7 linked regions of the Rattus norvegicus genome follow. The protein of the gene in region 6 purifies or fractionates together with the protein of the main gene of each other region. This does not show direct contact. Links are inferred from orthologs where the notes say so. Each region holds a gene or a part of one and is shown on either strand. Other genes may lie near its edges.

Region 1 (4,227 bases), on a different chromosome or scaffold from region 6:
CCAGTGTCACCAGGCCAGTGCAGAATGGTGGAAGTCTGGTGGGCAGGTACCTCATTGTTATGCAGAGTCAAGCAGAGTTTGCACTCATAGGATCCCAGGTGGTTCTTCATGAAATACGGGTCCTGGGAGTGAAGAAATGTACCGTGAGACCGCACAGCCTGGCCCCGGGACCCAAGGACCAAGGTGGGCAAGGTGAGGGCTCTGCAGGCCTGGAGACTCTCCCTCCCCCACCTTATTGATGTCGATGGTTTCCAGGGCCAGTTGCCGCAGGCGCTCTCTTCGATCCCGGTTGCTCTCTGAGGAGGAGGCCACGCCCCCACTCCCAGTTTTGCCTCCAGGTCGGTGCTGAAAGTCCATGATGCAGGCCTGGGTACTTTAGGGGACAGGAGAAACCTGGGGAGCAAGGAAGACTAAGGCTTAGAACCCTGCTGATGATGCTAGGACCGCGGGATGGCCCAGCATGCAAGCCATCCCTTCTCTGACCTCCTGATCCTCCCAAGTGCTGTGACTACCATTGAGCCGCCTCTCCCTGATGTAACATATGATTACTATTATTGTTGTTGTTATTATTGAGGGAGGAGTCTCTACGTAGTCATGGCTATCTTAGAACTCTCCTCACACATTAGGCTGGCCTCTGCCTACCTCTGCTGGCATTAGAGGACACACCCTCCTCTGCCTGACACAAGGAATGCTCGATACCAAGGGTCTCACCTTGGAGGCTCAGCCAAAGCCTCCAGACAGTGTTACCTGAGGCAGAACACTTAAGACTACTCAGTCTACTGGTAAACCTACAGTAAACCCAGGGCCAGCGACCAGGAGACAAGTAGAGACAGCTCTTGTCATCATCACTGGTGCCTCCCATAGCACAAGGGGCTCTACAAATGTGACCAAGAACCTTGAGGGCAGGTACCCAGTTACTACAATGTCACTAGAGTGTGCTCAAGGCTGACAGGCCACTGACAGCACTGGCTGTCAAGGAGGAAGAGGCCAGAAGGCAAAGGATACAGGATGCTCTAGGTGCTGAGAGGGACGGCTTGAGAGGTGTACACTGAAGTGGCGGGACAGGAGCAGCCTATTAGATGTTTTGTACTCAGCCAAAGACTGAGAAGGGCATCGTCTACATCATCCAGAGCTACCAACAGACACACTCCCAGAGATGAAGCTGGCCAGACACGAGAGTACAGCCAAACGGTGGGAGAATCAATTGGCTTCTCAGAGTTAGGGGCACCCACAAGCAGCAGCAGCAGGATGGAAAACCACTCCAGGCTCAGGCAAAGACAACTCTTGAGAACATAGGACTCTGTGGCTGGCCTCCCCAGGGAGGCTGGGTGTCCATCCACAGACTTGACGGTGCCACTCAAGGAGAACACTTGTCCAGCATGCACTGGGTCCCCTGGGGGGGCATGCTTGAGGTTGAGTGCATGGATATCCACTGCAGAAATGTAGTTCATCAGCTTTGGAAGGAAAGCAGAATAAAACTGGCCTGGGTGAGCATACTGCTTGGCCCAGTGGATGGAGCACAAAGTTTTGCAAACGCTCACCAATGAACTACCGCCTCAGCCCACCAACAGTTCCCAACCTCAGGAAACAGAAAACATGGGGCATGGCAGTGTATACATTTCCTTCCAGCTCCCTTAGAGGCCAAGGTAGAAAGATGATGGGTATAATTTGAGACCAAACTGGGCTGTGCAGTGAGATCTGTCTCAAATAAAAGACAAAAGGGTGCTGGGTAGGCTGGCAAGATGACTTAGTGGCAGATCACAACCACCAGAAACTCCAGCTCCAGGGAACCTGACAGTCTCTCCTGGACTTGACGTTATCATACTCACACATGAAGCTCCACATGGACACACATTTGGAAAAAAAATCTTTAAAAACACGGGAAAGGGATTCCAATACCAGCTTTTATCTGCTTCCTGACTATGGCTGTAACACGACCACCATAGTGGACTGCACCTTCATACTATCAGTCAAAATAAACCTTCCTTAAAACAAAACAGTCAAGTGTAGTGGCACACGCTGTAAATCTCAGTATGCGGGAGGCAGAGGTATGGGAGTGTATGTGAGCTCGAAATCGGCCTAGTCCACACAGGGTTCCAGGTCAGCCTCAGTTATGCCGTGAGACGCTGTCTGAAATAAAGTAAAATTGTGCCGATGACTGGATGGACTCACAAGTGAAGCCTGGGACAAGAGACCAGGATGAATGGTTGGGAGCCGTGCGACCTCACGGACTACTCTAAGATTACCGATGAACGATCAATAGAAACAGAAGAGTAGTATATGTTAAGGTCACGGTCTGGGAGAAGGCCTGCCTGGTCTAAAGGCAAATCACTTTTTTTTTCTTTTTTCTATTTTTCGGAGCTGGGGACCGAACTCAGGGCCTTGCGCTTGCTAGGCAAGCGCTCTACCACTGAGCTAAATCCCCAACCCCGCAAATCACTTTTAAATGCATATACCGTTATCTTTTAATCCGAGCAACAGACCTACTACAGTGGACAGGAGCAGTAGTCGCCATGGCCCTGACTAACGGCGAGGGAAACTGAGGCAAACAAGCAGGTTAAATGACATTCCAAGAACCCGAACCACCCTAGAGGCCACGGAACCGCCACAAAAGTCCGCGATCACGCCACGACTCAAAGGACCTCGCGAGACCGCGCTCTTAGGGCGAGGGTGCGCCACGCCTAAGGGGAAAGGGCGGCCGCTGCCCCGCCAGGCCCCACGCTCTCGCTCCTACTTTCAAGACCCACAGACGGGGCAGCCGCCACCGACAAACCGCGTAGTTCCTTACCAACACCAAGGCCTCGGTAACTGGGCTTAACCTCCCCGAATGCCGCGATTTTGTTGTGCGCATGCGCACGACCGCTTGAGCAATCACTTCCGGGGGCAAGGAAGGCGGAGTTTCATGTGTGCGCATGCCCAGCGAATGGACTCCCCCTACGGGAGGCGGGAGAAAAAAAAAAGAGCGCCGGGACACGGAGTACGCGTGCGCACTGCATTGTCTACGAATTCTTGCTCCGCCCTAACTCTGTTGGCGCTGACTATCGCGACAGGACTTAAACCTCAGGGTTCACAGGCCCGGGAACGAGCTTCGCGTATCGTGAGGTGCTATGAGTCTAAATTTACACCCCACGTTCAGTGTGTCTGACGGTTATTTAAGGACGGGCGATTTCCTTCCCGTCCGACTCCTTGTTCTACTGTGCTGACCCACCAACTAGCGTCACGCAACACGCCCAACAACGCGCAGGCGCAGTAGCACCGTTGGGACTTACGAGGTCGCTTCCTGAGACTTTTGTGGCGCTAGTAGCGGCTTCGGGCAGGACGGCGGCCGAGAGGCAGGGCGCGTTTTGGTTCGCGCGGATCCGGGCGGCGAGATGCGGTACAACGAGAAAGAGTTGCAAGCGCTGTCCCGGCAGCCGGCAGAGATGGCGGCCGAGCTGGGCATGCGGGGCCCCAAGAAGGGCAGCGGTGAGCTGGTCCGGGCCGGGGCTGGGACACTTGGGCGGGCCGCGGGGTTCCCCGGTGGGCGGATGACAGCAGTTGCGCGCTGACACCGCCCTCTGCCTGCAGTGGCCAAGAGGCGGCTGGTGAAGCTGGTGGTCAACTTCCTCTTTTACTTCCGCCCGGACGAGGCCGAGGTAGGGGTGTGGGGGGCGCGGGGGACCCGCGCGGCCCAGAGGCCGGTGCTCATGGCCGTGTCTCGCGCAGCCCCTCGGAGCCCTGTTGCTGGAGCGCTGCAGAGTGGCCCAGGAAGAGCCGGGAGGCTTCTCCATCAGTAAGTGTTCTGTTCCCCACTTTCCACCCCGGACTCTGCTCCGCGCACGCGATCCTTTTTACTCCCTTAGGAATCTCCATTTGTCCTGGATCTCGCGTCCGCTGGTGGCCCATGACTGTCCCAGCTGTCACTCAGAGTGACCACTGGGTCAGGTTCTCATCTTAGTTTCTTCCCCGATCCTCTGCCGGTTTACGGCCGAGAGAGGTGCAGTCTGTGAACTTGGTGTGTATAACTGAAGCAGTCTCTGCCGTGGGAGTGAGTGTGCGGGCAGGGCTTTGAGGCCTTGAAGGACACCTGTCTCAGCCTTCACCTCTGGAGAGGTCTTTCTGCTGCGTACCTTGTAGAGATTTGTCCATCGTGTCTACCTCTGTCATCCAGTGGGGTTCTCCATCTGTACCCCTATTTTCTGCTTCTTGTACATGTGCACGCATGGGTTTCTGGGTGTGAGTATGCCA
Region 2 (4,251 bases), about 51 Mb from region 6:
GAAAATTTTCAATAAACTGGGCCCTAGATCTTACTAGAAAGGGGATGTGCTGGGAAGGGGTGGCCGTCGCCACGGAGACCGGGACGGGAGCGCTCAGGCAGAGGCCTCTAGAGAGGTTGGGGAGGACAGGGTGTAATTAGCCCCAGGAGGCAGAGGTGGGAAGCGGAGCAGCAGCCTCTTTCTGGAGAAACTTTGAGGTAAGCCGACTTTTAAAATGCACCGGCTGGGGAATTGATTCAATGACCTCTAGTTGAGCCGGCCCCATGGAGGTACCAGGGGGCGCTGTGTAGACTCGTTTCCGTCCGCCCGGGGTTAGATTTCTCGTAGGTGGCACGTTCTGCGGTTGCGCAGCAGGAGCAGGGGCGGACGATTTAACGCGATTGCCATGGCAACCGGGAGAGGGCAGGCTGGTTAAACCGTCTTGAAGTTAGTGTCTACGGGGCTAAGGTTGGGGGTGGGGGTAGAGGTATGTTGGAGGAGATCGTGCGCACGCGCAATGTGGATTTAGAATGGCGGATCCTCCCGAGAGCGGAGAAAAACGTGCCTCTGACCGCTACGCAGGCGCAGAAACCCCTCTCAAATCACTGTGCGCAGGAGTCCCAAGCTGCGCTAACAACCTCCGCCGCGTCCTCGAACACCCTTTGTTCAACTGGCTGCTATTGTCCCGTACACCTTCTCTGGCCTTCCGCGAGGTCAGTTTTTTCAGTTTTCTAGAGAGCTAAGTGCCAAAGCTGAGACTCCGCCCCGTCCACTATAGCCATCTGGCCCACCTCTCATCTGTCCTCCCTCCCTTTTCGGTTCTTTAAGCCGAAAGGAGCCGAAACAACAGCGGAAAAAGCCGAATTTCCCCCCCTCCGTGCTGGAGGCCTTCCTGAAGCAGTGGCGGAAGGGAACGATATTCTCCGGAAGGGGCGGAGTGACCCTGTCGAACCTCCGGAAAGAGCCGAAGATTACAATCGGGTTTAATCTCTAGAGGGGCGGTGAGCGAGCGCTGGAAACCTTCGGAAGAGCCGAAGGCCTGGACGGTTAGGATTGTTGGAAGTGACTGACCGCTTGAACAGGGTCGGCGAGGGGTGGGACTAATTTCCAGAGGCGGCCAGAGACTGAGACGGTTTGAGTTGTAGGAAAACCCGTATCTTTAGAGGAGGCTGGTGTAGGGGAACGCGAGGACCCACGGAATCCTCCGAACGTTGAAACGCTAGTCTCCGAAAAGTTACCGCAACTTGGGCAGCCGGCAAAAATCCTCGCTTCGGGTGATTTCGAGGGCGACCGTCGTCTGCAGACTTCTCTCTCCGAGAATAGCCGACAGGCTTCGGATCTGAGCTCGGGGAAGTTCGAGGGGGGGTGGGGCGGGCGGGACGAGGGGGTGGAGTCGGGACGGGGCGGGGCTTGGGGCTTGCTTAGGTAGGCGACGGAGTGCCGGCGGGGGCCGGAAGTAGCCGAAGCCAGCGGCGGAAGTAGCCGGAGCGGGCGGGCGGCAAGGCGAGGCGAGAGCTGCACAGGGCCCTACGCGGCCGCCTAAGCATGTCGGACTTCGACGAGTTCGAGCGGCAGCTCAACGAGAATAAACAAGGTGAGGGCGCTGGGGTTGTGGGGTGGCTTCTTGCTTCGCCCTGTGCGCCCCCCCTGCCATTTCTCTTGTTCCCTTCCCTAGGGCCGCACGATTTACCCCCCCCCCCGTGCCGCGCGCGCCTAGCTCACGTGACCTCCCCTTGGCGCTGAGGGAAGGGGTGGCGGGCGAGGCTCACGGCGCGTGCGCGCCGCAATATCCCGCGCCCACGTGGTCTCGGTGGAGGCGGCGCGTTTTGTCAAGTAGGCGCATTGAGGGCGCGCCGCATTCCTCTTTGTGCATCTTTTTTGTTGTTGTTTTAAATTTTTGTCTTTTACTTGAGAAAGACATGAATTTAGGTCTCAATTCTTTTTCTTTTGCTGCCTTCGCACTTCCGCTTCCGGTCGGGCGTACTTTTCCTTTCTCCACGCCCCCTTTGTTTCCAAAATGGCGGTGGTGAAGCACACTCTCTCCCCCCCCCTCCTTCACGTGGACTGGCGCTGCAATCACTAGGTGCTTGTAGGTTTCGAGCCTGTTCATACTTTTCGATTTCTCCAGAACTCTCCTGTCTCGATGTTTCTGTCTCAGCCTCCGGTTTTGTGGCGTCTTAGATAAAAATGTGTCCTACACCTGTTTGCCCGCCAAAGAGGGAAGTCTCTGCGTTCTTTGTGCCCCTGCTGAGCATAAATCATATATGCCTTGGAGTTTGGGCGGCCGACATCTGTTTTTCATATCCCTAACACTCCCTAAACCTTTTGGTTTTAGGCAAAGCCCAGGTCCTGTATCATTCCAAACTCGGACACCTAAATCCAATCATACTGTAGGGATAATAAAATAATAATAAAATAGTCAAGCAAATGGGAAGTAGGGAGCTGGCCCATTAGTAGGTTAGTAGAGGCAGGTGCTCCTAAAGTAAGATCCTGTACTATGAATTTGGATCAGAAAGGCAGTCAGGCTATGTTGGTGCTGATGGATTTAGGAATCCCGAGGAAAGAGTTGAGTTATATATAAGATATAAGACATCTCTACAACCTCCTTTTTTGAGACTGAAGAGCTCAAATTTCTTAAGGATTGAGACTTAAGCTGCCTTGTGTTGGGGCATTCGGTGAGACCTTCAGAATTCTTCGAAATGAAGCTGGAATTGAGAGAGTAGTTGAAACAGTACATGTGGAAAAAGTAATTATTCTGAGTGCCCTTGTTGAGCTTTTCTGCTTTGAGTAGTGTACTGTTTAAAAGTATAGGCCTTAGAAATTGAATATACCTGAGTTCAAATATCTTTATGTATGGTAATTTGTTAGGTGTATGCTGATCATCACTGCTCTGTTTACTGGGTTTTTGAAATTAGTAATGGTGGTACATACTGACTATAGTTGTGATTAAACTCAGGCCTTACCATGTGTCAGGGCAAGGAAATTTGTTAAACTCTTAAAATCTCCCTCCCTCCCTCCCTCCCTCCCTCCCTCCCTTCCTTCCTTCCTTCCTTCCTTCCTTCCTTCCTTCCTTCCACAAGGTTTCTCTGTATAGCCCCAGCTGTCCTTGAGTCCTTGAACTTGTCCTACTCAACAGAGGTTCTCCTGCCTCTGCCTTCTGCATGAGACTTGAGCCACCATCATGCTCTAAACAGTCTTAAGTGAATCATTTGTAACAGCCTTCTGAGGACATACTAGCTTTCTGTTTATTGAGCAGTAAACTAGGGCTTATAAAGTTTTTGTTTTTTCTCTTAAGAAAAAAAGCTCCAGGCATTAGTCAGTGGAAAGCTGGAGCTGAGTTTAAATGGAGCAGAGTGTATATAGATTGTGTGGCTTGGATTATGCTAAATACCTAACTAGACTGGTGTCGAGTTGTAGAAGGGTGGGGAAAGTGGATGCCAAATGTTATTCCTATAAGACCTTGGTAATGTAGATGTGACCTTCATTCAAAGAAAGAAAAACTGGATGTTAAAGCTAAGTTCCTGCTTTTGTGTAGAGCTCTGACTGCAAAGCCAGTTCCTTGTGGTTCAGGTGGTTCAAGTGGAGCTGCTTTAGCTGTTTTTTGAGGCTGTGATACTAGTTCTAGAGTGTCCCTTCTGATGTTGGCAACGGGGCCTGAGACCCAGCCTATAAGGGTCGATTATTGGAGCTATGTGCATAAGACAGCTAGAGTATAGCATTTTGAGCAAATGAAGTTTCCTTTTAACGGTCCAGCATCAGTATGTGGGAGAAGGTTCTTGCCTTGCTGGAAGAAAGCTTGACCATCTTGTCACCTTGCCTGCCTGTGGGTATTTGTCTCTGACCCAGACTCACTGTATCTCTTAGCTTTAGCCCCCTTCTTAGTTCCCTAAGTTTACAGGAAGTTTGTGTCCTAGACACCTGGTGTTGTCATGTCATTTTTGGAGTTTGTTGTTTTTGCTTTTGAGACTTAGCGGGAGGGAAGACATTTGGGATTTGTAAGTAGCCCCTCTTCCTGGTGTGGAGCCAGAGCTGTGCTTGTCTCAATATTCCACAGTTCTTGCCCCTGTCTAGCTCTTGATTATTTTATTCTTTACATGTACATGCACATTCTTTGCTGTTAGTAGTTGAACCCAGACTCTGTAATGAGTGTTCTGCTTGGTCTTCGTTTGAGACTACAGCCTGGTACCTAACTTAGTGGCATTACAATTTCAGTCTTGGCTTCACTGTTGCCCAGCTGTTGGGCTTTGAGCAAGTCATGATCTCCCTGTGCCT
Region 3 (3,712 bases), on a different chromosome or scaffold from region 6:
GACAGCTAAGGCTATATAATGAGATCCCACTTAAATAAATGAAACGAATACAGAAAGTGCAGGGCTAATGGCAAACCGATGCTTCTGAGCCCTAACTCACCTGTGTAGATTATAGGCCAGATCAATGGCAATGAGCACACCTGTGGGTGAAGGGTAGATACTCATGTTGTCTGTGGTGTAATCCAGGAACTTGGCCCGGGCATAGCGCTCAATATCATGGGAATCATAGTCCCCCCAGCGTAACTGGATGTCAATCCAATACTTCTGTGTGGTGGTGCTGTCCATCACATCCCTAAGGGTAGGGGAAAAAGTTCAGGTTTTCAGGAAACCACAGCATAACCACCATCTCAGACTCATGAGAACTCCCAACTGCACCTAAATCTCAAAATCATCCCTCCTCATTGTAGATCAGCAAGACCCCTAGCCGTTCAGTAATGGTGCTTGGCTTTAACCCCAGCACTTGTAAGGCAGAGTCAGGTGGATGGATCTCTGAATTCAAGGCCAGCCTGGTCTACAGGCCAAGTTCCAGGACGGGCAGGCTACATGGAGAAACTGTGTCTCAAACAGAAAAAAACAACAAAACAAACCACAAACAAACAAACAAACAAATCAGCAAGACCCCCCCCCCCCCCCCAGGAAACGGGTAGGTCTGACTGCTGATGGGTTACAAGGGCTAGCACTGCCTCCAAGTTTAAAAGAATGTCAACCAAAAGCTGGGAATGGTGCCCACTTTTGTACAGCGAGCATTTGGAGGGGCTGAGGCAATAGTATTATAAGGTTAAAGCCAGAATAACAAAACAAAAGAGGCAGGGCTAACTCTTTTAAGTTACATGCTTATCGGAGTTGGGGATTTAGCTCAGTGGTAGAGCGCTTGCCTAGGAAGCGCAAGGCCCTGGGTTCGGTCCCCAGCTCCGAAAAAAAAAAAAAAAAAAAAAAGTTACTTACTTAGAGTCTGCCAGCAGCGAGGGCCGGGAGACATTCCACTTATAGGAAGCAAAGAGCAGTATATCTGCACAGGAAGAGTTCATCTTGTAGGATTTTCGGGGATGGATTGTCTCCTTTTGTACTGTCTCAATTTCCAGGGCATCTAATTCCTGGTCGAAGACCTAGAAGTAAAGATGAGAAATCCACATACACTGAGAGCTGAGAGAATTTAGATGAGGCAACAGAGTCTAATCCTTGCCTGTCCAGGATAAATTTTCCCAAGCTGGCTATGCGTGGCAGTGCATAATCTAAGCCCTTGGGAAGCAGGTTAGGTAGCCAGCCTAAGGATCTCCAGGCCAAGGCCACACAGACGGATGTGACTGTGTGATGTCACCCCTCAGCGGCAGCTCACCTGACACAAGTCCATCACGATGCTCTCATGAATCTTTTGCCACAAGTGAGCTCGGAAGATCTGGATGAGAGAGATCTTCAGCGTGGGGATCTTGCCATGCATAAAGATTCCTGTCAGGTCCAGCTGCACCTGGAAGCCTACGTATACCTGCCAGGAAAGAGAGAGACCAGAGACCAGCTCTTAGGACAAAGATAAAGGCGTAAGAAACCCCTTTCCCCATCTCCCTTGTGGAAGAATCATACTCACATTGGCTCGATTGATTGTTGGGGACCACCAGAGAGTAAATCTACGATTAGGAATCTGGTTTAATCCTGATCGCTGAGCATTGGTCAGCTTCTTCCACTTCATGGATTCCTCAAACCCGCTGGCTTTCTCCCTGATGAACAGAGGAATTAAATGAGATGCTGCCCATCCCCCTCCCAGAGGTGCCTAACCCTCACTGGGCTAAGTAAGAAGCAGCAGGCTACCACAGCACAGAAGTGCTGAGCTCAGAGAGTTGTGACAGATCCCTGTAAGGAGGCAGAGTCCTTACCAGAACAGACCTTCCCAGGTTGGGAAGTAAGTGCCCTTGAAGAGAGTGTGTTCCAGAATGCCCTCCACACCGCCCAGTGCCTGGATCATGTCTGTGCGGTAGTTGTTGAGGTTCCAAAGCTTGCCATCATGCCGTTGATGTGTCCACCAAAAGGGGTTCTGCTTCAAAACCTAGAGAGTAACGCAAGTACAGTGAAGCCTCTGGGTGGCCACCACTCTCAGTGACAGGGATGCCAAAGCTATCCTGATGGGGAGAAAACTTGCTCCACTCTCCACTCTACACACCTGGTACTGCTTAAAGTCAGTTCGGACACGCCAGCCTTTATCATAAGCCAATGTGTGCCGATCTTTCTGGAAGAGGGTATTGATCCGGGGAATGCCCCGATCCCACGAGTCTTCTAAATCTTCTAAAGTCAAGCGTCTGCCAGAAAAAAAGAGTCAACATCTTTTCTCACAAAGAGCAAGCATTCAATATTCTTTGGCCAAGGATAAACAGAATCAGTCTTAACTCCTAAAAACATACTCTGCCCATGACCTCCACATAAGATTCAAAGTGTTGTGAGCCAACCCCCAGCTCTGACTGGCACACCCTCTGCATGCCCACCTGTTCTGAGCAATAGCCTCCTGTCGCTTGAGTGCATACTCAGCCCAGACCCGCTGGGAGTCAATGAATTCACTCTCCCATGGCTGTATGTAGCGGTACAAGTTGGGAATCAGTTGGTCTTCTTCATGACTCATTCCTGAACGAAAGTGTGTGATGCCCACATCTGTTTGCTTGGACCACCTGTTCAGAAAAATTGAGACAGGAAATAAAATTAAAGTCAAATGTAATCAAACACTCATTTCCCTCAGAGTTGAAATAATGAAATAATGAAGGTCAGTCACACTATACCTGAGGTCAGACTGGGGGATAAGGACATGGCCCATCGAGAGCATGCCAAGCCCACCCAGCTCCTTAGGGGTGTAGAATACAACAGGGGGGAACCGACTTGGCATCTTGGAGTTCAATCCAATCTTGATACGTGTCTGGATCTTGTTTTCACACTTCACCAGTAAGTCTAGGAGTTCCTGTGTATTCACCACAGCCTCTCGAAAGTATGTCATAAGGCCAATGAGAGCTGTATTCCACTTATTCACAATCTAAAGTTAGTGGAAAAGAGTAAATTTCACATGAGCAATGCAGGTCTTGCAGTTACTAGTTAGTTACTTACATCCCTAATGTAGGGGTTGGGGATTTAGCTTAGTGGTAGAGCGCTTGCCTAGCAAGTGCAAGGCCCTGGGTTTGATCCTCAGCTCCGGGAAAACAAACAAACAAACAAACAAACAAACAAATCCATATATCCCTAATGTAAGGATTAGTTTAAAATCATTAGTAATTACAGAAAATAAAAAAAATATAAGATACTACTTCACACCCACTAGGATAGAAACAAATGAGAGAGGGATGACTGAGTCACTCTGATGGCTCAGTGGGTAAGACTGTCACCAAACCTGAAGACTCGAGATTAATCCCCAGAACCCACATAGTGAAGGAAAGAGCCCACTTCTTCAAGTTTCTTCTCTAACCTCCACATGCACTCTGTGGTCTATACCCACCCAAACAAATGTAATACAAAGTACTTTTTAGTGCTGGGCATGGCAGTATGAGGCTTTAATCTCTATGAATTTCAGGCTAGCCAGTGATACATGGTAAGACCCTGTTAGTTATTTTAAATACAATATTCCTTTCAGAATAACATAAACTTGGGGTAGGGGCTGTCAGATCAAAGAAGGAAACAGCACTGCTGACTGCAGGAAGACAAAGAACTAATCAGGAAGGCAGCCTTTGACCTTACAAAGCAAACA
Region 4 (4,442 bases), on a different chromosome or scaffold from region 6:
TTCTGTTTGGCTGGGTTATAACATTACAGACCAGAAGACTGGCAGCTATCCCTCATCCTGTCTCTCTGTGGTTCTCAGCTGCCACCACCCACCCTGGCCCCGAGTCACTGCTCTCCTTTCAGCCTCCCCACAGCCTCCCAAATGTGCTTTCAGTTTTCATTTGAAAAGTTGCGTCATGCAGTAAAGCAGTTTGAGCAGTCTTGCTCAAAACGTATGTCCACCCAGACATGTAGTCTGGCCCCAGATAACAGGTTTTGCAGATATAATTAAGAAAAAAAAATATATATGTATATAAACGTATATAATTAAGGGGTCTTAAGAAGACGTCATGAATTTAGGTCAGACCTTAAATCCGTGACTAATGCCTTTACTAAAAGGAAAAGGGGAGGCTGGGGAAACAGCTCAGCCAGTAAAGTGCTTGCTGTGCAAGAAGGAAGACCAAATTCAAGCTTCAAAATCCAGGTAAAAACAAAAGCCAGACATGATGGTGCCCGCTTGTAGCTTCAACAGTTGGAAGGTCAAGACTGTGGGCCCCTAGGACTTAACAACCAGCCAGCCAAGCCTAATCAGCAAGCTTCAGATCCCACTGGGAGACCTGTCTCAGAAGACAAGGAGGGCAGGCAATATGGCTCAGTGGGTTAGACACCTGCTAACCAACATGGTGGCCTGAGTTCTGTTTCAGGGACCCTCATAGGAAGGGAAGGACTGAGTCCCACAAACTGTCCTCTGACCTCCACATGCTTATCCACACAAAATAAATACACATAAATTTAAAACACACATACATACAAAGCGGGTGGCACCGAAGGAATGATACCCAAGGTTGACCTCCGGCGTCTCCCCAGGTGCTCACGTGTGTGCACGCGCACACACATACCAGGTCTCAGTAATGCCTGAGAACAAAACAAGAGACGGAGGAAGACATAGTAGCACGTACCTGTCTACAGTCTGCCTGGTGGCTTCTGCCCTCCCTTCCGTTCGCTTGATTACAGACCCAAGTCACACTACAGCGTGTTGGAGGGACAATGGTCAGACACAGGAAGTGCTTCAGGAACTTTCCTGGGGAGACGAAAACAAAGTTAACTTGCCCGGAACAGGCACCAATGACAGGCTAAAGTACCAAAATCGGGTGATTTGAACCAGTTAGTTTGTTGAGCTTATCTACAGAGTATGAAAGAGAGGCTACTTATGGGAGTATGGGTGACCCTGAAACAGCTTCACTACACAAATATCTCACCCCAACCTTGATGATGACTTTCCAGCAGCTTAGATGAGGTTCCCCACGTCAGTTAACCTTCCACCTATACACATGCTACCTCCTGAGACACGGAGACCACACGCAGCTGGGGCAGAGTAATAAAACAGCTGGCACATCCCTGGTGATGTTAGTGCAATCCCTTAATCCCAGCTATCGAGACACAGAGGCAGGCAGATCTCTGTGAGTTGGAGGCCAGCCTGGTCTACAGAGCAAGTTCCAGTACAGTCAGGGGTACATAGAGAAACCCAGTCTCAAACAGTAACAACAGGGCTGGAGAGATGGCTCAGTGGTTAAGAGCACTGACTGCTCTTCCAGAGGTCCTGAGTTCAAATCCCAGCAACCACATGGTGGCTCACAACCATCTGTAATGGGATCCAATGGCCTCTTCTAGTGTGTCTAAAGACAGCTACAGTGTATTCATATAAATAAAAAATAATAATTTTTTTTTAAAAAAAGTAACAACAACAAAATCAACAGGGTGGTAGTGGTGCACACCTTTAATCCCTGCACTCGGGAGGCAGAGGCAGGCAGATCTTCGAGGCCAGCCTGGTCTGCAGAGTGAGTTCTAGAACAGCCGGGGGGGGGGGGGGGGGGGGCGCAGAGTGAAACCCTGTCTTCAAAAGGCTGACACACGCACACAATAACACAATAATCAAAAACAGCTGACAGGAAGGAAAGGCTCAGATCTTACCTTGGGGGTTTCTGGGGAACTGTCATAGCCCCTCTGATCAAGATGACAACAGTGCCAGGCAGTGGTGGCGCAGGCCTTTAGTCCCAGCACTTGGGAGGCAGAGGCAGGTGGATCTCTATGAGTTTAAGGTCAGCCTGGTCTGCACAGTTCTAAGCCAGTGAATGTTACATTATGAGACCCAGTCTCAAAAACCACACGTCTAGGGGCGGGAGGGAGGCATGCACACACTGTTCTTTCAGAGGACCAGAATTTGGTTCCCAGTAACAACTTCCTGTAATATTAGCCCAGGAGGGATCCAGCTCCTCTGGCCTCTGTGGGCATCTGCACATGCGCGCACACACATACACACACACACACACACACACACACACACACACACACACACACACATATACATATCGACAAAAACACGACAAAGGCCATTGTGCTCAGAGAACAGTGTTCTGCACTGCAGGAACTGATAACCTCTGGCTTTGTTCTTGCTCCTCCTAGAGGATGTCACCAGATTAGTGCAGGTCGGGCTGGGCCCTCGACTGGGAGCAGGCTGTTTTTCAGAGCACTGGTCTATGGGTCCTGTGCATCCTGAGGGGTGGGGTGGAGGGCAGGGATTGGGGGGCGGTCTCAGCACTACAAGTGAAGGACACACAGTGCCACTCTGACACTCTCTTGAGCCCTGGTGACTAACTCTGTCATCCCTTTCTGCCCACCAGAAATAAGCCCATTCCAAGTACCTCGTTTTGTCCTGCTCTTCCTCAGTGGACTCACACTGGTGGCATTGCAACAACAGGATGTGAAAATGCCGGATTCCTGTTCCAGGTAGCTTCCAGGTAGCTGACTGACAGAACGACAACCCAGAGGTACTTTGCACTCCCGGGATTAGTAAAGGGAGACGCTGCCTCCCAGGGTCTATCTCCAGGATATCCAAGCCTCCTCTTCTCGAAAATCCTCCAGGCCTAATGGATTCCAGCTGAGAACAGTGTGGCGAGCCACCGCTGCTGCCGCTGCTCCTCCTCCTCCTCCTCCAACGCTTAGCGGAAGCCCAGGACCCCCGCAGCCGCCTCCTTGTCGCCCTAAGGAGGACTCAGGGACTGGGGAACCGGCTGGAGCAGGGTTGCCCTAGACTCTCAAACAGCGGACCCGGGCGCTCAGAACAAAGGCACAACTGCTCCAGCTGCCATGAGAGCCGGAGCATGCGGGCTCCGGAGTCCCTCACAGTCGCTTGGTTTTTTTGTTTTTTGTTTTATTTTTTTGAAACTGTTCAGGCTACCCTGGTGCTTGCTAGAAATCCAGACTGGCCTCACGCTCCTCCAGTCTTTGCCTCCCAAGTGCTAGGATTACAGGAGTGAGCCACCATCCTAGAGTGACACTGTGACAGGCCATGAGGCAGAGGAGGAAATAGAAGTAAAAATGGGGTGGGGTTGGAGGTGGGATAAAATACTGATGCCTTGATTTTTCCACACGAACATGTCGTTAATATTACTTCTTTATTACTTTTACTTTTGGGATTTCGTTTTTAGACAGGGTCTCATGAAGCTAAGGGTGTTAATACATTACCACTGTGATGTGTTGGGTTTTTTTTTTTTTTTTTTTTTTTTTTTGGTTGATTTTGGTTTTGGACACAGAATTTCAGGCAGCCCAGGCTGGCCTCCAACTTGCTAAGTAAGTGGAAGCTGGCTTTACCATCCTCTTAACCTGCTAAACGCTGGGATTACAGGAGAAACAAAGAGCTGAGGTGGCTACTAATCTATCAAAGCTAATAGGGTCGTCAAGCCCCTCAGCAAAACTAGCACCTGTTAGAGTCCTGGCTTCTCTGAGCATTCCTCGCCACTCTGTATCCTAAAGCCTCCAGCCCCTGAGATCCCCTTATGTTCCCCATCTTCTCATTCCTATATAGCCCAGCCCAGGAACTCTCTTGGTTTCCATTCTTTTGGCTTCTTGGTTCTTCTCCCTCTCCTGGTCTCTGTCCCTCTGTCTCTCCCCTCATGGCCAGATTCAGTCTGGATCTTTCCAGATGCCTCTAGCCATTCTCCCCCTCATATCTACAATAAAAACATTCTCCTCAACCATATCTAGGAGGAATCTGATACTTATTTTCATTCACACCATCATGTCTAGCCTTTTCTTTTAACCTTTTATTTTGACATAGTGTATCACTAGATGTCTTCTGTTTGACCATGAACTTGTAATTCTCTTGTCCCAGCCTCCTGAATGACTGGGAATACAGTCTTGTGCTATTCAATTCAAACAAAAATGTGAGTTTTTAATTCACTGCTTTTATTTATTTCTTTTACACTTATTTACCTCTCTTTGTACAAGTTAACATTAAAAAAAAAACACAAATAGGCATAGAGAGATGGCTCAGTGGTTAAAAGCACTGACTGCTCTTCCAGAAGTACTGAGTTCAATTCCCAGCAACCACATGGTGGCTCACAACCATCTGTAATGAGATCTGATGCCCTCTTCTGGTGTGTCTGAAGACAGCTACAGTGTACT
Region 5 (4,509 bases), on a different chromosome or scaffold from region 6:
TCACAATTCCTCCCTTGATAATTTTCTAACCATTTGCATTACCTTTACTCCACAGGACCTTTTCTTCTCTGGTGTGCACTGCTCATCTCCTATGATGGAGCCCACCTACCTGGGGATCTAGCCCTGCTCTGAACGAACCTCTGGCATCTTATAGGTTGATTCCACCTCATTTTCTTTACTGAGTGAACAAGCTCAAAAGACAGCTTCCTTCTGATCAGTACCTGCTCAACTCCAAATCTGATTCTCAATGTCTATATGTGGGTCAAGGCCTTTTCTTTTAGTTTTTCTCTTGTGTACAAGGCATTGGAGATAGAACAGTCTCTGGGTCCCAGGAACGAACTTAGAGATGTGGTTAAGTGACGCCCCTGGGCTATGATGAAGAGAAATAGATATAGAAGGAACAAGTACCGTGAGGCTGGGAAGCACAGCTTTGGATATGTGAGGGAGGGGAGGAAATTATTAGACTTGTGGGGCTTTATACAGATTTCGGCATAGCAGGACTGCAGGCTTCACAAACTGTATAAGGAATGGAATGCGTATCTAACAGACAACACGATGCTTTGGGACGGGGATGTGAATGATGAGTTCTGAATTCAGAAATGAACAGTCTCGATGCACCGTGTAGGAAAGAAGTAGGACGAGGCTGGAAAGGAGCACACAGAAAGTTATTACTGTTTTAAAAGAAATGAGAGTCTGAAAGAAACAGTGGCAATGGAAGAAAGAGACATTTGATTAAACAGCAGCACTCGGTCATGGTGGGGAAAGTAGCTGTCACTCAAAGGCTGAAAAGGTCAAGCATAATTCCTAGGGGAATGAAGGATGCTAATGGGAGCTGTGCTAAGGAAAGGAGAAAGGACGAAACTGAGTTGGGGGAAAAAAAAACCAAAACCAACGAACCAACCAAAAAAATAAAAAAAAACTGATGGAGGAGACGTAGCAGCTGAACAACTAACTAGCTTCAGGGGTTGAGGAAAAGGAAAATGATTGGGCTTGGGCCAGTGAGCAGGATGTGGATCAACCAAACTGCGGAATACAAACATGCACTTAGGGAGAAAGAAACTTAAGCGTTTAGCACACCACACAAAAGGGGCCCGAGAGAGCCATCCTGGATGAGATTTTTTTTTTTTAAGATTTATTTATTTATTATATATGAATACACTGTAGCTGTCTTAGACACACCAGAAGAGGGCATTGGATCTCTTTACAGGTGGTTGTGAGCCACCATGTGGTTGCTGGGATTTGAACTCAGGACCTCTGGAAGAGCAGTCGGTGCTCTTAACCGCTGAGCCATCTCTCCAGCCCGATTTTTTTTTTTTTTATATTAACGTTTAAATTGGCAAGGAGTTTAAGGCAAGGGTTTACTAGGACAGCTGACATGTAATCGGTTACAGCTAAAACTGCTTTGCATTTTTGAGTACTGGTAGCTTAACACACTTGGCGAATGAGTAAGAAGGCTCAGAGCTCATCATCAAGTGATGGATCCCAAGGGGCCACGCGGCTAAGCGCTAGAGGTAGACACGAATACTGGGATCTTGATTCCTGCCTAGGTCAGCCTCTTCACCGTGGTCACCTGTGAGCCACGGCAAGTATATACCAGCAGTTAAAAATATAAGAGACTATGTGGAGGGAAACTTGAAATAAGAGCCTAGACAAAGGAACCCTAAAGCTGACAGGGCTGGAAGAACAGGGAACCCAAAGGCTGAGGATAGCTCAGTGGATGTCTTAGGAAAAAATGCATAGAGAAAAGGGAATTATTACAAACTATTCTATGCAGAGATTTAACTCAGATGTCAGAACCGTCTCACGACTGCAAAAGACCTAGGACACCATTTCCACTAAGCAATTAGTCAAGAAGCCAAGACTAGCCTACCCTGAGCTGGGGTAGGGGTGGGGGTGGCCCTGTGACAATGCCGGGAACAAGGAACAGCACGGAAAGTTGGGATGTCTAAGGAACACACTGTTGTTCTAAAGATAGAGTTCCCAGAGTTCTTTCATGCCAGATGTCCTTATTAAAGAAATAACATTCCGTAAATGGCTCATCAAAAACTGTCAATGACTTAAGACACAAACAAGACACAGGGAGATCTTAGTTCGAAATCTCTGTAGTTTTCCTCTTCACACTCTTTAAACTGATCATTTGCACAGGGCTTACTACAGACTGATGCTCTCGAGGGACTCAAGACACACCAAGTCTTCCCCTAAGTTTGGAAACTCTTGGCTTTGGCTTAAGCGGCCTCTCTTTCTTTGAACTGATAACGTTGTGTAATTTGCAAGTGGCGAAGTCAGGATTCCTGATGAGTTCCTCAAAAAAATAAAAAATAAAAAAAAATAACAGTACCTAGCCATGGTTCACTTCTCGTGAGGGCACAAATTCTAGTTTGAAAGTCTTGATCCAATATTATCCATGTTCTGAAATCACATCTGCTTTAACAAGGCTACATTCTAGTCTACATATTCAAACTTTCCTCCTCTCTTGGACTACTTTTATCCGACAGAGACACGAAGGATCGGAGGTAGTCGAGGGCTGCTTCGTACTTCCAATCGTCAAGGAGGAAGTGGGAAGAGGTGTAAACGCTAGTTACTTACTTCTCAGCGCCGAGATAGACCAGCATCTAACCCGAGACGAGCTGAAAGCAATTCCTAAACTCATTAGTGTCCAAAACACTTACCTTAACTGCCACCTCCGGAGCCGAGTCCACCGCCACCGTCAGAGAGGGCTTGGCTGAAGGCGATTTGGTCAAGTGCATGAGAGAGTCCGCGGCCGGCAGTGGGCACCGACTGCCCTCACTGTCCGAGTCCGATTCGGACCCCGAACCCGAGCCATAGGAAGCAGCTAGAGCTGCAATCGCAGCCGACATGACTGCAACAGATACTCTCTGCTATGGCCAGGCCAGGGCGGAAGAAGCAGCGTCTCCCAGGTCCTGACAGATTGTCATGGAACAAGCTATTTACCTCCTTTGATAACAAATCATTTCTAACTCCTCGTAAAAACCTTAATGATTATTACGATGACTGTGTCAGGATTTGAGATTCGCGAACATTTATCTAAAGAAGCATGAGGGATTACAACTATTTGTAACTTTCAGGACCTCGCTGATTAAAGACCCGGTCCTGAGCTGGGTTTGAAGCCTCGCCGTACTTCACTCCCGGCGTACAGCGCGGCGAGGTGCTCGCGGCACCCTGGGAAATGTAGTTTGGAGCGAGGAGGCGGAGTCGGACAGAGGGGCTCAGCCTTCGACCCCGCCCCCAAAAGGATGCTTCATTCAATTGGATGTCATCTTCCCTCATTCCCGAGCCGGGCACCGTTCTCTCCGGCCCCCTCCCCCAAAGTGCGGATTGGGCAATACCACAGAGCCTCAGGACAGGGGGAAGCGCCGTCCTCTAGCCCACGGACCGGTAAGTGGGTGGATGCTCACTTCTCCCACCATGCCGCCGTCCGCCCTGCAGAATTCGAAGGAAGAATGCGAATTCTAAGTTCAGAGACCTGGGACCCGTCTGGCGCAGCTCCGCGGAAAGGTCGTGAGGCCAGGCGGAGAGCGCCCCGAGGCTCCCCCTGCTGCAGGCGCGGATCCCCGCGCCCGGTTGTGGAGCGTCGCGCGGGGAGGGGGCGGCGCAGGGCAGCGGCGGCTCGCGGTGTTGTTCGCTCGCGCGTCGCGCGCACCGCGTCTCGGGCGAGCAGTGGGCTCCCCCGGCGGCATTCCGGGCGGCCCGGCGCCTCAGCCAGTGCCCGGCGCGGCTTCCATCCCGCAGCCCGACGCTCCCGAGGGGCTCTTGGTGGCGTCCCAGCGCGGAGCTGGACGGGCGGCAGCCGCCGAAGCATGTAGAAGGGGTACGGCGCGAGCCCCCCACGGTTTCGCGGTGAGCAGGAGTCTCTCAGGATTTTGTCCTTTTTTTTCTTACGGGGGTCTTGACGACGTAACTGTTCTCCACCGGCCGGAGCCGAGAGGGGCGTGTGGATGAACCCGGGTCTGCAGCGGCGGCGCCGGTGGATGGGCGCGCCGCCCCCGCCCCCATCCCGGGCTCCCCCGCGCCCGCCGCCCAGCAGCCCGGGCTGCGCGTGGAGGACGAGGCGCGGGATCTCGGGCGCGGGGACTGGGCAGAGGCTGCACCGGGTGCAGCAGCTGCGGCTTCACCGGCGGCGCCGAGTTCGGGGTTCCGATTCCGCCGCTCCGCCCTCGTGCCTTGGCGCCGGCGAAGGCTGCATGCAGCTAGTGGCCGAGCCTCCGGCTCGCCCGGCGTGCCAGCGAAAAGCGAGCTCTGGCCGCGCGTCTTTGCGCCGCGGCTCCCTGTGCACGACAACGGTAAAGCGAGTCCAGGCATCCCTTTATATTCCCGTTTGGAAGAGAAGGCAAAGAGGGTGCCGGCTCTTCTGATGCCTGGGAATGGGGAGGTTCCTCGGGCAGAGTTAGGGAGACGCTCGCTGGGCTCTGATGTCGGCAGGACTCGCCCATTGTGCCACCCAGATAATTATTCAACTATGCAGCATCCATTGCACCTTTCCCATTTTTC
Region 6 (3,712 bases):
ACAAATCAACCTAGAAAACAGGCTGTCAATTTTCATATTTAGGAGGAGATTCAGGCTCTTGTAAAAGAGAAGTGATCATTTCATATGCCCTTAAAAAGCTAAGTCTGTCTGGAATCCTGTTACTGGAGACTTTAGGATTTTCTACCTACATTCCAACCAGGATTGTCAGCCAGCAAATCTTGGAAAGCAAAGAAACTAAGGCAATCTCCAAGACTGCACACCCAGGTACTTAACTGCTCAAAGAAGTAAATGGATCCTGGGAAAAGGAGAAGAATACAGATGCCTTCAACTACTTTATCTATTTACTTCAAATCAAAGTCTGATCAAAGAGTAGCTTTAAGGCAGTTTTTTCCTGAACTAGAATACCAGTGTCCTTAGGACTATGGGAAGATGGGCTCTACAAGGCTCAGTACTAGGACACCACTGTCAGCCCCAACCTGGCTCTCTCCAGTCACACAACCTGAATACATCCTCACCTTGATTGCTTCCACATCCCCTGCAGATGGCCCACCTTTCTTTTTGTCAGTTGGCAAACCAGCACCTGGATTAAAACTGGGGAGGAGAATATAATTGTTATATTCTGACTGTGCAAGCTGCTTCTCTTACTTTCAAAAGCTTTTGAAAGTAATTCAACCAGTGTAGTATCTTATCTTTGTTAACAAACTGATACAAGAACTCTCTCCTTCAGAAACACCACCCAATCCATCTTCCTAGAGAAAGCATGATGTTTAACATCAAATTTAAGACCGTAAACCGAAATATATGCTCTGCTAACCGGGTAGAAATTTCCCGTGATGTGCAGACCATGAATGGTCAGTCACCATCGTTCAAAGGTAACGCCACGCTAACCGCACTTTGGATTAATTTTGCAGGAGGCCACTGTCAGACAGTGTTTCTGAAGGGGAGGAGAGTTAGGTTGGATATCCGTATCTTACGTTTTGCTTCTCCTGGCAATATCCTTTGCAAGCTGTGCACCCCGTTTGCCCTTGAACATTTTCTCTGCTTCCTGACGCTCCTACAGCAACACCACACACAGAGTTAATGGAAATAGGAATACCACATGCATTTAGATGCATTCCTCAGAAAACATGGAAGAGAATTCTCTGAAGTATTCTGGGTTGGTAAAAACACCAAAAGCCAACTTTAAATTAGACGACACATTGGCCAACATTCTTGGGCAAAGTTCTCAAAAAGCCTCCCCTCCCCCCAGTTTCAAAGAGTGGTCCCAGAGAAGAATTAGCACGTCAACATGGAAATGCCATTCTAACAGGCAGGGCTGCTCACAGCTGGATTACAGTATGCTCCCCATTGGAAATCCATCTAAGCAGACAATTCACTGTGTAGTTCAACTACAAAGTTTGGCCAACTTTGGAATGACCAACAAAGCCCTACCACAAACTGCTAAGAATAAAACAAAACCACCCCACAAAAACAGTAACAAACAACCCTGACTAAATGTTTTCTTTCCCACAGGTTAAGTTTCAAAGTAACAACAAAATTTACTTATTAATAAGCAAGTTTTAAAAAACCTGGCAATGAAAGCAAAGGCCAACTCTGTGATGCCTCACAGCAGTGAGCAATACTCACTTTTAGTTTCACTTTCTGAAAGTCCAGTACTCTGACTTGTGGAACCTTATAAATCACATAGAGTCGATAATGCTTCTTATTGGTCACAGGGTTTCTTAGGATGCTGTAAGAAAAGGGACAGTTCCAATCTCACTCACCACAGCTGATGTAAGGCGGAGTCAGCTGGAGGTGCAATGACTATAAACCAAGAGCCAGCGTGCGCTCTTCCCACTTCACTGTCAGGAGTAACACACGCCATCCAGGAGGGAGCTTTTTATTACCAAGCTAGAGGTGTTATTTCAGGACTATAGTCATATCATCACAAGTAATTTCCATACCTTAGATATGTCAGTGATTTGAGAGATGCCAATGGGTCCAGATCACCCTATAAAATAAGAGTCATAGTAAGGACCGGGCTGACAGGCACACCACTACCCTGAGAGTTTGATATGGCAAGTATCTCTGAAGCAAGTATCTACACTATTTTATTTTTTATTGCTCTGGCACCTAGTCCATTATTAATACAACACAACTGCTTAAATATTTTCTACCTAATAAACTGATAAATATACTCCAGCTTCCTTAAACTTTGGTAGTAACAACATCTGCTTCAACAGAAGACAAAAAGATTTGATTTTCTAAAGCAATCTCAACATGGCTACTAAGCAGTGATTCAAAAATGGAACCAATGCTAATACCAGTGACTTACTTGGAGCAAGCTATTTTCACAGGAACCTCAAGCCAAGATCTTGGTCTAATGTGGGGTTTTGATGTTTGAGACAGAACCTCATATAGCCTGGGGGGTCTTGAACTTGTTGTGCAGCCTAGGATGGTCTTCAATCCTGATCCTCCCAAATGCTGGAATTATGTGTATATACCGCCACACCCGGTGCAGAATGTCTTTTCTTGTTAGTGTATCCCAAGTGGCCACGATATCTGTTATCCTAGATCACCTCTGCCCCCATCTCTTCAAACATCTTCAAAGACAAGGTGAATAGTATAGTTCAAAAAATTATGAATGCCAATCATGGTGGCGCATGTCTTTATCCCAGCCCTCGGGAGGCAGAGACAGACAAATGTCAATGAGTTTGAGGCCAGCCTATTTATTCTATGTAGTGAGTTCAGGCCATCCAGGGATATTCTCAGCTTTTCCCAATTGTCCTGGAAACCACTGATGAAACAAAAATAGCAACACTAAAAACCCACCTTCAAAAGCTACAACTGAACTAGACAAGGTATTTCCTGGACATCTCAGAGTAGGAATAGTTAAGGATACCAGCTACAGGACTGGCAAAGCGTTTATGAAGGCAGGAAGGCATGTAATAAACCAGAGAATTCCATCATAACCAACAGATGTTCAGTCTGAGAAGTTACCAAGGATCTGTATGTTCCAATAGTGAGTACAGGGAGATCTGGATAGATTGTGTGATGCGGCTATAGCAAATGTGGATCCTCGTGCTTCTGGTCTCTTCTCCCATTTGGGACAAAGTTTTGCTATATATATTGTGATGGTTTGTATATGCTCAGCCCAAGAGGCACTATTAGAAGGTGTGGCCCTGTTGGAGTGTGTGTGTCACTGTGGGTGTGGGCTATAAGACCCTCACCCCAGTTTCCTGGAAGACAGTAGTATTCTGCTAGCAGCCTTCAGATGAAGATGCAAAGTTCTTAGCACCTCTGCACCAGGCCTGCCTGGGCACTGCCATGCTCCTGCCTTGATGATAATGGACTGAACCTCTGAACCTGTAAGCCAGCCCCAGTTAAATGTTGTCCTTATGAGAGTTGCCTTGAACATAGTGTCTGTTCACAGCAGTAAAACCTTAACTAAAACATATATATAGTCCTGGGTGGTCGAACTGTGTTCCTTCCAGGACAAATTCCTACACTAAATAAAAACTTGGGATAGACCTAAATTAAGTAATTCACCCCTGCACAGATGAAAGCAGGATACTCACTTCTACCGCATACACACCAAAACTGGAAGGACACAGAAGTCAGTGTGGCCTTGAAAATGGATGTGTACCTTTGTGAAATGGTTCATAATTTTAAAAAGCAATGACAGAGAGCTGAATTTTCAGAAAGCAAACAAGCCATCTTTACACAATCAGAGGGAATGCTAGAGCTTGAAAACTGGCTTACTACCATAAAA
Region 7 (2,616 bases), about 120 Mb from region 6:
TGTCACCATCTCGGTCATGTAGCATAAGCGTGGGATTTGAAATTGTAAACTCCTCAAGCTGCCCCATCCCCCTCCATCTTCTAACTCTTGACTAGTTTAGCATATCTGCTTCCAAACTGGCCGGCATAATGTATGTCCTCAAACCTTTGGAAAATGCTCTGGTGAAAACTGAATGGGGAGAGGTGGAGCAGGGTCGGGACAGGACACCATTGTTTGCCAGTTTGTCATTTCTGAAGACACACAAACTAATTACCAAGAAAGGGGGGAGGGGGCTGCAGCATAAAGGGAAGTGAGGTTAATGACAGCAAAGACTAGAAATGGGTGGGAAGGAATGTGGAAAAACTCCATGCTTGAAGGTTTCCTTGGTACCAGACACACTGTAGGCATGAAGAAAATCGAGGTGAGGGAAGATCATAAAAGTGTGTGTGACAACTAAAGTACTTGTCAATAAACGCTTGCCCTGTGCTTCCGCCCCCGTTTTCTAGTCATATTCTCACGAAATCTTGATCCACAGAACTCTCTCCAAATACCTCCCAAAGAACACAGCAATTCAAACCAAAAGATATAACAAATCCTAACTTTATGTATGATATATATTTAAAAAAAAAAAAGGCGAGAACGACATCAACTATCGAAAAGCTGACTCGGAATGCGTCATCACTCCCAGGCAGTCTTCTCCCTCGCTTGCCGATTCTGGGATCACTCCTTCCGCACAGCTCCCAGGAGACCCGACAGTCTCTCGATGACTTGTTCGGAACCGTCCACAGGTAAGCAGGTCAGGCGATACACCCAACGGAGAATGGTCGAGAAGCAGGAGTCAGGAGGATCGGTCCACAGATGGCAGATGGGGAAGGCTGGGAAGCGCTCGCCTCAGTTCTCCTCCGGCTTGTCCGCCGGCGGCCCGCTGGGCTGCAGCATTTTCTCCATCAGGTTGAAACGCACGCGCGCTTTGCTCTCATTCTCAGCAATGGCGAAGTAGTTGAGGAGGTCGAAGTGACCCATGTAGGAGCAGTAGGAATCCCGATGCTGGTTCACAAGCCATTCCCACTTGGTGGTGTCGGCGTGGCCCGTGCCGATGTACTTGGACTGCAGATGCTCGAGCTGGCTGTGGATGGTGTACCGGTCCGTCATCTCGCCGCTCTGTTCTTAGGCTTCGAGGTCAGGCCACAGATGAGAAGCTACCGCTGTTCGGCGTTCAAATCAGAGAGACGCCGCCGCCGCTGCCGCCGCACAAAAGCTCTATTCGTGCTGGCGCAGGAGAAAGACGACACGCAGTCGCAGGAGTACTTTCTTTTCCTAGGCGGAAGGGGAAATAAAGTCTGTTGCGGGATTGGGGTTGCCTAGGAAACAGTGGGCCGTCTCCTCACGGAGCCCGCCTACTTCGAAGAGCGTTGCATGATGGTCCTCTTAGTGGCTCTTGGGTGATCACGTTCTAACCCTCGCGTTGCATTCTGGGACATGTAGTCCAAAGAGTTTGTCTTAGATTGTTTTTGAGGGGTTTTGCCTGGCTTATATAGGACAATGTCCAAAAACCTCGAAGCTTCATCCCACGGCTCCGGGCTACAAAGAAGGAGAAACCTACGTGGGTTTCATAATCCCACTGTCATTGAAATCTCATACTGCCGCAACACAACAGTATGAGCAACGAGGAAAACTAACTCTTGTACCTAGAAGTTAACATGGTGGCATGGTTCCGCCTTGGCCCAAGTTTTGTCTCTTAGGATTTGGGTACCGGGAAAAGTTTTTTTTTGTTGTTTTTTTTTTTTTTTTTGTTTTGTTTTGTTTTGTTTTTTGACTCTCGCTAGCTGCTTGTTGATCAGTGTCAGCACTGGTAGTCTCATTAATGGCTTCCCTAAGGAGTTCCAGGCGCCAGTTTCTCAACCCACCTAGGCTCTGTGGCCTTGGGCAAACAACCCCTCTTTAAGGTCATTCATAGGCTATTCCTTGAAGTCGGATATGGCTCGAGACAAGAAACCTCTTTCTCTTCATCTTGTGTTTTTCTGCTGATTTCTGCCTTATGTTGGGGGTTGTGCACTTTCTCGCATGGTACAAACTACTCAGAAAAAGATAATTGTACTTCTTTCATGGTACTCCCTGAGGATATGCGAATAGCGTGATGAAGATTGTATTCTCAAAAAAAAAAAAAAATCTTAAGAATGGGGTAAGAGCAATCATAGCCAGAGAGGATGGATGATGACAGACAAATTGAAAATACAGGAGTTTGGGGGTACTTTTGTTTATTTGATGTAAGAGGGGGGAGGCGAAGTTTTGTCCCTGAGCTCACAGCAATCCTCCTGACTCCTGAGACTAGAGACTTGTGCAACTCCATCTAATATTTATTCTTCTGTCTAAACTTTGTCATAAAGCATCTTGCCAGGTGGTGGCAGCACACATCTTTTTTTTTTTTTTCTTTTTTTCGGAGCTGGGGACCGAACCCAGGGCCTTGCCGCTCTCCCACTGAGCTATATCCCCCAACCCCGGCAGCACACATCTTTAATCCCAGCATTTTAGAGGCAGAGGCAGGTGGCTCTCTGAGTTCCAGGAGAGCCAGGCCTACAGGGAGAAACTCTGTCCCGAAAAATAAAACCAACCAACCAAACAAGCAGCACCCAACAC

Evidence for each region.
Region 1: the proteins of Snrpa1 (region 6) and Sf3a2 purify together in Homo sapiens (affinity purification with mass spectrometry; 8 studies listed by BioGRID and IntAct, counting the BioPlex papers as one, with this or other methods). This does not show direct contact. The link is inferred for Rattus norvegicus from reciprocal best matches to the Homo sapiens genes SNRPA1 and SF3A2.
Region 2: the proteins of Snrpa1 (region 6) and U2af2 fractionate together in Homo sapiens (co-fractionation; 3 studies listed by BioGRID, with this or other methods). This does not show direct contact. The link is inferred for Rattus norvegicus from reciprocal best matches to the Homo sapiens genes SNRPA1 and U2AF2.
Region 3: the proteins of Snrpa1 (region 6) and Prpf8 fractionate together in Homo sapiens (co-fractionation; 3 studies listed by BioGRID, with this or other methods). This does not show direct contact. The link is inferred for Rattus norvegicus from reciprocal best matches to the Homo sapiens genes SNRPA1 and PRPF8.
Region 4: the proteins of Snrpa1 (region 6) and Srrm2 fractionate together in Homo sapiens (co-fractionation; 3 studies listed by BioGRID, with this or other methods). This does not show direct contact. The link is inferred for Rattus norvegicus from reciprocal best matches to the Homo sapiens genes SNRPA1 and SRRM2.
Region 5: the proteins of Snrpa1 (region 6) and Cdc40 purify together in Homo sapiens (affinity purification with mass spectrometry; 3 studies listed by BioGRID and IntAct, counting the BioPlex papers as one, with this or other methods). This does not show direct contact. The link is inferred for Rattus norvegicus from reciprocal best matches to the Homo sapiens genes SNRPA1 and CDC40.
Region 7: the proteins of Snrpa1 (region 6) and Sf3b5 purify together in Homo sapiens (affinity purification with mass spectrometry; 5 studies listed by BioGRID and IntAct, counting the BioPlex papers as one, with this or other methods). This does not show direct contact. The link is inferred for Rattus norvegicus from reciprocal best matches to the Homo sapiens genes SNRPA1 and SF3B5.

The regions. Positions count from the first base shown.
Region 1 is NC_086025.1:9,563,373-9,567,599, forward strand, and holds the start of Sf3a2 (splicing factor 3A subunit 2), read right to left. Parts: upstream 2,828-4,227; 5' UTR 2,789-2,827; intron 394-2,788; 5' UTR 358-393; coding exon 232-357; intron 123-231; coding exon 51-122; intron 1-50. Other genes in the region: Plekhj1 (pleckstrin homology domain-containing family J member 1), read left to right, coding at 2,924-3,102, 3,216-3,465, 3,706-3,772. UniProt on the Homo sapiens protein: Component of the 17S U2 SnRNP complex of the spliceosome, a large ribonucleoprotein complex that removes introns from transcribed pre-mRNAs.
Region 2 is NC_086019.1:77,804,488-77,808,738, reverse strand, and holds the start of U2af2 (U2 small nuclear RNA auxiliary factor 2), read left to right. Parts: upstream 1-1,447; 5' UTR 1,448-1,524; coding exon 1,525-1,573; intron 1,574-4,251. UniProt on the Homo sapiens protein: Plays a role in pre-mRNA splicing and 3'-end processing. By recruiting PRPF19 and the PRP19C/Prp19 complex/NTC/Nineteen complex to the RNA polymerase II C-terminal domain (CTD), and thereby pre-mRNA, may couple transcription to splicing.
Region 3 is NC_086028.1:60,843,198-60,846,909, reverse strand, and holds part of Prpf8 (pre-mRNA-processing-splicing factor 8), read right to left. Parts: intron 3,008-3,712; coding exon 2,760-3,007; intron 2,652-2,759; coding exon 2,472-2,651; intron 2,289-2,471; coding exon 2,153-2,288; intron 2,039-2,152; coding exon 1,869-2,038; intron 1,713-1,868; coding exon 1,583-1,712; intron 1,484-1,582; coding exon 1,337-1,483; intron 1,107-1,336; coding exon 946-1,106; intron 293-945; coding exon 101-292; intron 1-100. UniProt on the Homo sapiens protein: Plays a role in pre-mRNA splicing as core component of precatalytic, catalytic and postcatalytic spliceosomal complexes, both of the predominant U2-type spliceosome and the minor U12-type spliceosome.
Region 4 is NC_086028.1:13,318,599-13,323,040, reverse strand, and holds the start of Srrm2 (serine/arginine repetitive matrix protein 2), read right to left. Parts: upstream 2,983-4,442; 5' UTR 2,681-2,982; exon of another isoform or gene 2,668-2,680; intron 1,060-2,667; 5' UTR 938-1,059; intron 1-937. UniProt on the Homo sapiens protein: Required for pre-mRNA splicing as component of the spliceosome. As a component of the minor spliceosome, involved in the splicing of U12-type introns in pre-mRNAs.
Region 5 is NC_086038.1:45,905,105-45,909,613, forward strand, and holds the start of Cdc40 (pre-mRNA-processing factor 17), read right to left. Parts: upstream 2,875-4,509; 5' UTR 2,859-2,874; coding exon 2,670-2,858; intron 1-2,669. UniProt on the Homo sapiens protein: Required for pre-mRNA splicing as component of the activated spliceosome. Plays an important role in embryonic brain development; this function does not require proline isomerization.
Region 6 is NC_086019.1:129,058,547-129,062,258, reverse strand, and holds part of Snrpa1 (U2 small nuclear ribonucleoprotein A'), read right to left. Parts: intron 1,952-3,712; coding exon 1,905-1,951; intron 1,691-1,904; coding exon 1,588-1,690; intron 1,016-1,587; coding exon 936-1,015; intron 553-935; coding exon 477-552; intron 1-476. UniProt on the Homo sapiens protein: Involved in pre-mRNA splicing as component of the spliceosome. Associated with sn-RNP U2, where it contributes to the binding of stem loop IV of U2 snRNA.
Region 7 is NC_086019.1:9,175,849-9,178,464, reverse strand, and holds Sf3b5 (splicing factor 3B subunit 5), read right to left. Parts: upstream 1,277-2,616; 5' UTR 1,132-1,276; coding exon 871-1,131; 3' UTR 564-870; downstream 1-563. UniProt on the Homo sapiens protein: Component of the 17S U2 SnRNP complex of the spliceosome, a large ribonucleoprotein complex that removes introns from transcribed pre-mRNAs.